Linked DNA regions of Cricetulus griseus. The protein of the gene in region 1 interacts with the protein of each later gene in a pairwise test. Links are inferred from orthologs where the notes say so. Each region holds a gene or a part of one and is shown in the gene's direction. Other genes may lie near its edges. The genes, in order: Syt6 and Zbtb43.

Region 1 (4,349 bases):
CCTAATACATTGCGCACAGGCTGGTTGTACCAATAGAACCTTCAGCACCACGGACAGGGCCTCAGCGTTTTCCTTGCTACACCCGGCCCTTCCTGACTGGGGTTTGCAATTGTAACGGACCTGTGATGAGGCTGGTGCAGAAGGTGCACGATGGGGATCGCCTGGAGTTGGCGCTCCGAATCTCCTCCCTCCGGAACCTGAGTCACAGCCTAAGCCACTTCCAATTAGCGTGTTAATTCGGAGGAAAGACCCTCCTCCCCGACCACTCTCCGTTGCACACTAGCCCCGTAGTTGAAGGTGCAGGAGGAGCTCCAGCTAAAGTTTCTTTCCAAGATGCCACCTCGGGAAGGTGACACATTGGTGATAGGTGAAGGACAGGAATCCACCGTGATAGAACCTTACCGGGCTCGGTCCCCTGGCAGTTAGCAATGGCTCGCAGATTTCCAGGGTTAAGTGAAGCATCCCAACCATCCTGATTCTGAGTCTCACTTCACGGTTCCCGAGGGGAGCTCCTTTTACAGTCTAGCCTTCTATTTAGTTTTCTGTCTTTCTGGCCCTTTTTATGTATGCTTCATAGACAAATATATTATTTCTGGTGGCTTTGGTCTGATGCGTGGAGGTGGGTCTGGTGGGAACCGAACCCCTTCCTGAAATGCTCCCCATTTCTATTCACCAGAAACTTTCTCCTCCCGTTGCCATGGAGAGAGACGGCCGCTGCCTCCGTCTCCATAGCAACGTGCCGGTGCCTCGGACCACAAGACTGTGGGGCTCAGAAAGTCTTTGCAGTTCCCCTCGCTCCGCAGTCTTGGGGTCTTTTATCTCCCAAGCTGAGACTTGGCAAGTCTGGCTAACTTCTCCTATCAACAACCTTGGCAGGGTTCTCCCGCCGTACAGTCTGGCCATCCCTTTTTATGTTGTGTTATTGCGATGCCCACTTGTGTGACATGTGGCAATTTCCCCAACGTTTTCACAAGTACTACCTTTATTCCCAGGGAACTCATGAAGTACCAGTAATCATTACACCTCTTTTACGAAAAGGAAAACTGAGTCCCGGAAAGGCCCAAGGTCACCTCCGCGGTGCTTGCTCGGCTGGCCTTGAATCCTGCACTGTGTGGGACAGCGGGGTTGGAACCTTCCCGGACTCGGGCAGGTCCCTGCGTGTGGAGGGGGCGGTCGAGAGGCGCCAGACTTGCCAGCTGCCGCGGGATGCCACGTGAGGGGCGGGGACCCTGCAGGGAAGTGATTAAAAGCAGAGCCGAACCGCAGGGGGCCGCTGCGGGGAGGGTCTTCTTGGGGCCGCCTTGCCCCGCCCCAGTCCGGCCGTGGTGTGGGGTGCGAGCCACTGCTCCTCAGACCTGAGTGTACGGGGCATGAGCGGGGTTTGGGGGGCCGGAGGGCCTCGGTGCCAGGCGGCGCTCGCGGTCCTGGCCTCTCTGTGCCGGGCCCGGCCGCCCCCTCTCGGGCTGGACGTGGAGACTTGTCGGAGCTTCGAGCTGCAGCCCCCGGAGCAGAGTCCGAGCGCGGCTGACTCAGGTACCAGGAGACCCAGAGCCCCCTCCATTCCTGGATTTTCACACCGGTGGCCTCCCCTTCCCAAGGCACCGGCCCAAGAGCCCCAGAACCTCAGAAGTCTAGCTTGGGGTACCGGCCTGGGCCAGTCCGATGGCTCGCCGCCCACAGCAAGAGATCCGAAGGGGACCCCGGAGAAGAACCCCTTCTCCCCATCACTAATGCGAGAGCTCCGAGATGCGGCACCCATGCGTCCTCAGTTTCCCTTGTGTCTCTAGGCTCATCCTAGGGCCGATCGGCCAGAGCCGTGGAGAGGGAGACATCCTGGGTGCGGAGGAAAGCCCGAGTCCTCCGGGGGTTCCAAAGTCCAGGGCCCCTCAGTGACTGGGTGAAGGCGGGTCGAGCCCCTAGGCTTGGGAAAAACTTGCGTCTGCAGCTGGCACGCGGTCTTTGTGTCCAGGTCTCTCAGCAGCGAGTGGCTGTCTGCGTCTCGCCGGGGGGCTGGGGCGGGGTGGCGTGGCGTACTCCCCACCCCCCGGCACCCCTATAACTCGCTCTCTCGGTCTCTGACTCACTTGGACTCCGGGCGGGTGCGCAACTGAGCCGGTGCCTCTCGCCGACTTTGCCAGGCGGGAACCTCCTGCCCGGGAGGTGCGGACCTTGCGCCGGACGCAGCCCCGGCAGCCGCCGAGTCTAGGCGGCAGCCTGAGCCAAGTCCAGCTCACCGGAGCTGGTGAGTCCCGAGCCCGAGCCCACTGGGGAGGGTCCCGCGTGCAGCCGCGACGTCTCGCGGGAGTCGCGACAACAGGGGTGGCGTGTCGCGCCCTGGCGGCGGGAGCCGCGGGAGTGTCCGCGGCGTGGCAGCCGACCGGCCCGGGTATGTACCTGCTGCACCAGTCTTTGCCGCCAAGCAGCTCTCCCGCTGCAGCGGGATCCTTTGTCCCGCAATTAGGAGGGTCCAGGACAGAGCGAGTATGGGTCGTGTACCTTCCGAGCAAAGGGCCCGGGGCAGCGCGAGGCCCGGAGTGAATGCGGCGTGGGGGTGGGGAAATCCTGCAGAGACTGAGGCGCTGGAGTTCCTTGGGGCTCCGCAGACTCACTGAACCTTGTTCTCGACCGAGACCCGGACTCGGACCCTAGTGGCTCTGGGCCTAGGCTTAAGTGGGAGGTCGCTTCGTGGTTCCATATGGCTGGCGCCGGAAAGAGGAGAGGGGAATGCTAGAGGCAAGAAGATGGTCTCCACTTGTCTCCAGGGACAAGTGGCCAGGGACCACAGGAGAGGTTCTGGGAGCAGGTGCAGGCTGGGTAAGCTCCCCAGTGACCTCAGACTCCAGACCCCTGTTTCCATTTGAGGTTAAAGGTCAAAGATAGATGTAGACTCTAGGTTAGGAATAGAGCCTTCAAGGGAGGGGTAGAGAGGCCGGGGAAGACTGTGTGTACCCTCTAGGAGGCTGCTTGAAATCCAGCCTTGTGTGAGTGGAGCCCACCTCACATCTGTGAGTCATTAGGGGTGCTGCTTTTCTCTCTGGCCTTCTCTGGCACTATTTAATCAATGAGTTGATGACTGCAGCAGAAAAGACCAAGACTTAAGGAACTTTTGCAAGTAGGACCGTGATTAAAGTTGGCTCTCCCTCTTTGGTATTCTCAGAACAGATTAGACTGTCATTGGACACCGTTTCTCTGGTGACATCTCCTTCTCCCCCCCACCCCCCAACTCCATACACTTCCAAGACAAAAATTTCCTCAAGTCAGTCTCTTCCTATCTCCCTCCTTTCCTTTAGCTCCCTCCCATCTTTTCCTCAAGCGCTCCATCTGCAGTGGAGTCTTCCCTCTGGGCTTGATACCTCAGAGAATGGAGGGCCAGAACACATCCACAGAGTTCTGCACTACTACTTGTCCACCGCAAAGATGCTGGGGGTGGGGGTTGTTGTGTGTACCTTTGGGGGAGACACTGGTATTGATGCTGGGGGCATTGGAGGTTGTTGTGTGTACATATTGGGAGAGACACTGATATTCTGATTCCCAAAAGATTCCTTGAATCTGAATTTCCAAGCTGAGATGAGTGAAGCCTGGGCAAGAGACAGGGTACCACATGAATCAGTACCCTGGCCTAATGTGAATTTGAGTTGTATAAACTGCCCTGACCCCAAGGAGCCTTAACTTGATTAATGTGTCTGTCACAAGCCCCAAGAAATCCTGAGGCCAAGTTAGGACAAGAGATGCAGGCAGACAGGGAGCTGGATCACACCACGAGAAAGTGGCTCAGCTGGCTCCAGGACCTTGGGGATTTAGGTGAGCAGTAGGTCTACAGAGATGCAGTGTTCAGGCCAGGGTGCCAGACCTTCCAGGTCCCAGCCTTCACTTTGTTCTCTATCTAGGATCTGATTCTCCAACCAAAGCAATGCTAGATTTTTCCCCAGTTTTATGGGGAAAAAAATGCAAGTGGGCAGAGTATGCTCGGCTTCCTTCCCCATCTTACCTTTTCCCCTGCCTTCTGCCAGTTCTGAAGTGTCTAACTCCCAGGATTCCCTGAGCTTCACCAGTTGAGACTCAGAGTCCACTGCCATTTGCACAGACCTTCCCATAGGCCAGGGTCTGGGCAAGGAATTGCATCAGAAATCTCGATGAATCAGACCCTGACTTGGAAAGATCTATACTGAAACTTCTCAACTAAAAGCAAACTCCCCACTTTCTCTAAAAACCCTAAGGATCACCAGTCTGCTTTCTTTCTTAATATACTCCTTATATGCCCCCTACACTCAAATAGTCACCAGCAGGCCTTTCCTTTGGTCATTTTCCTTAAAGAGGTGAATGAACTTTATACATAGCCCAGTTACAGA
Region 2 (4,536 bases), on another chromosome or scaffold:
AGGGCGCCAGATCTCATTACAGATGGCTGTGAGCCACCATGTGGTTCTGGGAATTGAACTCAGGACCTCTGGAAGAGCAGCCAGTGCTCTTAACCTCTGAGCCATCTCTCCAGCCCGCATGTGTATTTGTATATGTGCTCATGTATATGTGGGTATATGGGTGGTTGTGGAAGCCAAAGGTCAAAGGACAACCTGATTGTCATTCTCAGGAATGCCATCCACTCTTTTTTTTTTTTTTCCTTTACTTTGTTTTTCCTTTTGTTTTTTCAAGACAGGGTTTCTCTGTGTAGCCCTGGCTGTCCTGGAACTCACTCTGTAGACCAGACTGGCCTTGAACTCACAGAGATCCACCTGCCTCTGCCTCCCAAGAGTTGGGATTAAAGGTGTGGGCCACCACTGCCTGGCCTCCATCCACTTTTAGGCAACCTCTCTCACTGCTCTCAAAGACACTGATCCCTTCCTCCGCAGCACTAGGATTGTAATCCTGCCACCACACCTGCTGTTTTTAGTTTCTGGAGACTAAACTCTGGTCCTCATGTTTGCAGTGCTTTGCAAAGATTTTACCCACTGAGCTATTCCCTCAATCCCCACACTTTTCCCCCCTAGCAAGATGTTCTGCACCTGTCCCCAGTTCTGTGCTTCAAGAATTTGTTTTGTTTTGTTTTATGGTTTTGTTTCTCGGAATTTCTTTTTTAAATTGTCTTGTTTGTATTATTGTTTTGCCTGCATACTTGTCTGTGCACTGTTTGCCTGCCTGGTGCCAGTGCCAGCAGAGGGCGAAAGATGCCCTGGAACTGGAGTTACTGAGGCTGAGAGCCACCGCGTGGGCGCTGGACACTGAAACCAGGTCCTTAGGAAGAGAAGCCATGCTCTTAACTGCTGAGCATCTCTCCAGCCCTCCCCAGAATCTCTGTGTATAATTTTCTCGCAAAGTCCCAGCCTTCTTTCTGAATATTCTTAGGTCCCAGAGCCGAAATAGATGCAGAGCTGGGAAGCCCTAAATTCGGACCCAAGACACAGGAATGTCTAGTCCAGCACGAATATGGGGACATAGCCTTGCAATCCCAATACTGAGGAGGTGTGGGCAGGAGTGAATTTGAGGCCAACTCGACCTACATAATGAGTTCAAAGCCAACCTGAAACTTTTATTTTATTTTATTTTTTGTAGGGGTGAGTGGAGTGAGCTCTCACTTGTCACCGTGTGTGCTCCAAGCATAGAGCCCAGGCCATTAGGCCTGGCGGCAAGCGCCTTTACCCGCTCAGCTAGCTCGCAGTTCCTAAGAGCTTCGAACTCGAAATCAGTTAACTCTTATGCCTGCCTCCCGAAACGTGACCAGCGGGACGTCCTATTGCGCAGGCCCCGGCCGCCCCCTGAAGACCCTCCCAGAAAGGGCTCCTAGAGCATGCGCACACCTCAGCGTCGCGGACGCGCCTCCGGAAGCACTGGCAGTTTCGGGGGCGGGACCGGGAAGCGTTTCCGGGGGGGCGGGAGGCTCCGGCGGAAGCTGTCCCCGTGGTGGCGGCGGAGAATAAGGCCTTAGTGCGGGCGACTGGATGCTCCGGTAGGCTGAAGCTGCGAGCGCGGAGCCGTCGGCAGGTACGGCGGGGTGGGGAGGCTGGCGGCCGCGCGAGAGGTCACGGTCGGGGTCACGAGCGTCCGGGACGCGGGTGCTCATCCAGAGCCCTCCCCGGTGGCCGCGACGCGGGACGGCGCCAGCGACTCCGCAGCCCCCGGCGCCCCGGCTCGGAGTCCCGAGGCCTCCAGCGCCACCGGGAGACTTCCTGTCCAAGGTCACCCCGCGGCAGGTGCACGGCGGGCCGGGGCGCCTGGAGGATCCGCCCGCGCCGCGACCTCAGGGTCGAGCCACCCACGCGGGAGCCAAAGCCGGGAGGGGGGACCTCGCCGCTCCGAGTTTCGCCTCTTTGTCACCCCGTCGTCACTTGTTTTTGTCCCCAGACTGGGCTCTGGTCAGCTGGAGTTTCTCTCCACCTTGTGTCCCTGGAGCTCACAGTCTGGGGACCTTGTCTTTAATCTCTGTTTCTTGACTCTGCTCTGGTTCGGGGCCCGAATGTCACACTGGCTTCTTGACCATTTGTGTGTTTTTCCCCCTCTGCCAATGTTGTGTTCTTGTTTCTCTCCCTCCCAACTGGGTTTGTTTAGGCAGGGCGGGCCCTGCCTGGACCTCTGAGCCATGGAAGGTGACTCATGACCCCGTGAAACTCGCCCGCCTGGGCGACATTCTCAGTGGCCCGACCGCAGTCTGGCCTCGGTTCTGACCGGTGTCACCCAACCTCACAAAGTGTTGGGAGCTCCTGGCCCTCACACTGAAGGCCCATCTCACGGTTTAGGCAGCTAGTGAATCCTGAACTTCTCTTCCATGTGGTCTACACAGCTCTCCAGTTATTTGCTCTTTCCAGGAGCCCCAGGGCTGTCAGGCACTGCCTCTGTTTAACCAGGTCAGCATGTCTACAGGCTCAGGAAGGACCAGGTTGACATCTGCCCTTGAGATCCTTAGCACTGTAGCAGAATTTTTAGGGGCAGCTTAGGGAAGAATTTAGGAATTCGTTCCCTGCATGTTTCCAAAGTACCGTGAGAAAGAAGTGAGACACGGGACAAATACTATTTAAAACTTTTGGAATCGAGTGTCAGTAATAGACAGGACAGAAAACAATTTATGAGGTGCTAGAGTCAGATACTGTGTTCAATGTGCACAGAGTTTAGGAGACAGTAAGAACATTCTAGAAATGGATTGGGCACAACAGTGTGAATGATGTAATGTCAACATAGCATTACACTAAGTAGTTACAGTGGTAAGTTTTGTGCTGTGTTTATACTGTATACACACAGCAGAAGGAACTCTGGAGACTTCCGAAGCTGGTATAAGCACGTCCACAGTGCACTTTAGAAACTTGGTTTGGAACATTTAGTTGAATCCCTTATATTGATGCAAGCTCTTAATAGCAGCAGGTTCAGTTGAAGGCTTACAAAAGGAGTCAGGGGACCCTGATGGCTTTAAATCGGATGACAGCAGTTTCCCACCTGTCTTCCCCTCCTTGCCCCTTTGGAATCAATGCAGAAATTTACCCTAGTGGCAACTTGAGAAATGTATTGCCTTTGACATGCAGAGAACTTGTGAAGCTGGAAAAATTCCCCTTTATTAGAGTAGAAAATGCTCTTGTTATTTCTTCACAGACTATGCCTTTGGTTTTTTGTCTGTTTTCTGTTTTATAAATCTTGCCTTCTTTACATTCATTTTTCAAGGTTTTATTTGGGGGGGAGGGGGGTTGTGTTGTTTAGATTTTTTCTTTGTTTTGTTTTGTTGCCTTTTATCTCTGAGTTCCCAGGCCAGCCTGGTCTACAGGCATTCCAGAACAGCCAGGGCTACACAGAGAAACCTTATCTCAAAACAAACTTGGGAGATATATACTGTCTGAATCCTGGAGTAGCCTGAAACTCCCAGTGTGATGACCTTGAACTGATGATCCTCCTACTCCCACCACCCAAGAATTAGATTCCTGTGTGGGCTGCTTATCTGACCAATTAGGTCACCAGAACCCTCAGAATGGGTTTCAAGATCTTACAGATTTAGACATGCTGCCTGAGTTTTCTTTCCCAGCAGAACTCCCTTCCAGAGTGGCACATGTCACTAATAGTAAACCGAGGAAAGTAAGCCTCCTTAGACTCAGCTTCTTTTTAAAGGCAGTAGAGCCTGACCTGAGCCTGGAAAATCAGAAAAATTCCTCAGTGGAAAAGATGGAGAGAAAGCAGTAACAAGGGGGAGGGAACCCAGAGAGAAACCCATTTATGTGGCTCCTTCGCCTTTCTACACCATTGTGAAAGGTTTGAAGGTCAAGGAGGGCCCTGGGACAGATTATTCCTTGGGATAATAAATGTTCTAGAAGAATGATTGTGACGAAATGAGGGCCCCTATGTGTTTTAGAGGGAAGGAGATTGAGATGGTTCTCTTTGGCTCTACAGTTGGTAGTTGCTGGTGGTAATGAATGAGTGGTCAGTCAGTTATCACTAAGACTGTTAGATGATCAATAAGCATCTGTCCCGATGGCCATTCCTGGGGGTTGACCAGGCAGGAAGGCAAGAATCTATAGAAACGGGGCTGGAGAGATGGCTCAGTGGTTAAGATCACTGGCTGCTCTTTCAGAGGACCTGGGTTCAATTCCCAGCACCCACATGGCAGCTCACAACTGTCTGTTACTTCAGTTTCAGGGGATCTGACACCTTCACACCAATACACATAAAATAAAGTTAAATAAATTATTTTAAAAAAAAAGAATCTATAGAAGCATCATTTTAGGCTGGTGGTGGCACACACCTTTAATCCCAGCTCTTGGGAGGCAGAGGCAGGCAGATCTCTGTGAGTTCGAAGCCAGCCTGGTCTATGAGAGCTAGTTCCAGGATAGATTCCAAAGCTACACAGAGAAACCCTGTCTCAAAAAAACCAAAGAAGAAAATAACTTAATTTTAGTTCATGAGACAAAAGTATAGTTGTTACAGGCATTGTCACAGTTCAGCCAAGA

The links.
Region 2: the proteins of Syt6 (region 1) and Zbtb43 interact in binary tests that used the Homo sapiens proteins (3 or more experiments, as listed by UniProt). The two-hybrid records come from large-scale screens. The link is inferred for Cricetulus griseus from reciprocal best matches to the Homo sapiens genes SYT6 and ZBTB43.

The regions. Positions count from the first base shown.
Region 1 is NW_023276806.1:53,374,182-53,378,530, reverse strand, and holds the start of Syt6 (synaptotagmin-6), read left to right. Parts: upstream 1-1,370; coding exon 1,371-1,533; intron 1,534-4,349.
Region 2 is NC_048599.1:145,183,720-145,188,255, reverse strand, and holds the start of Zbtb43 (zinc finger and BTB domain-containing protein 43), read left to right. Parts: upstream 1-1,457; 5' UTR 1,458-1,597; intron 1,598-4,536. UniProt on the Homo sapiens protein: May be involved in transcriptional regulation.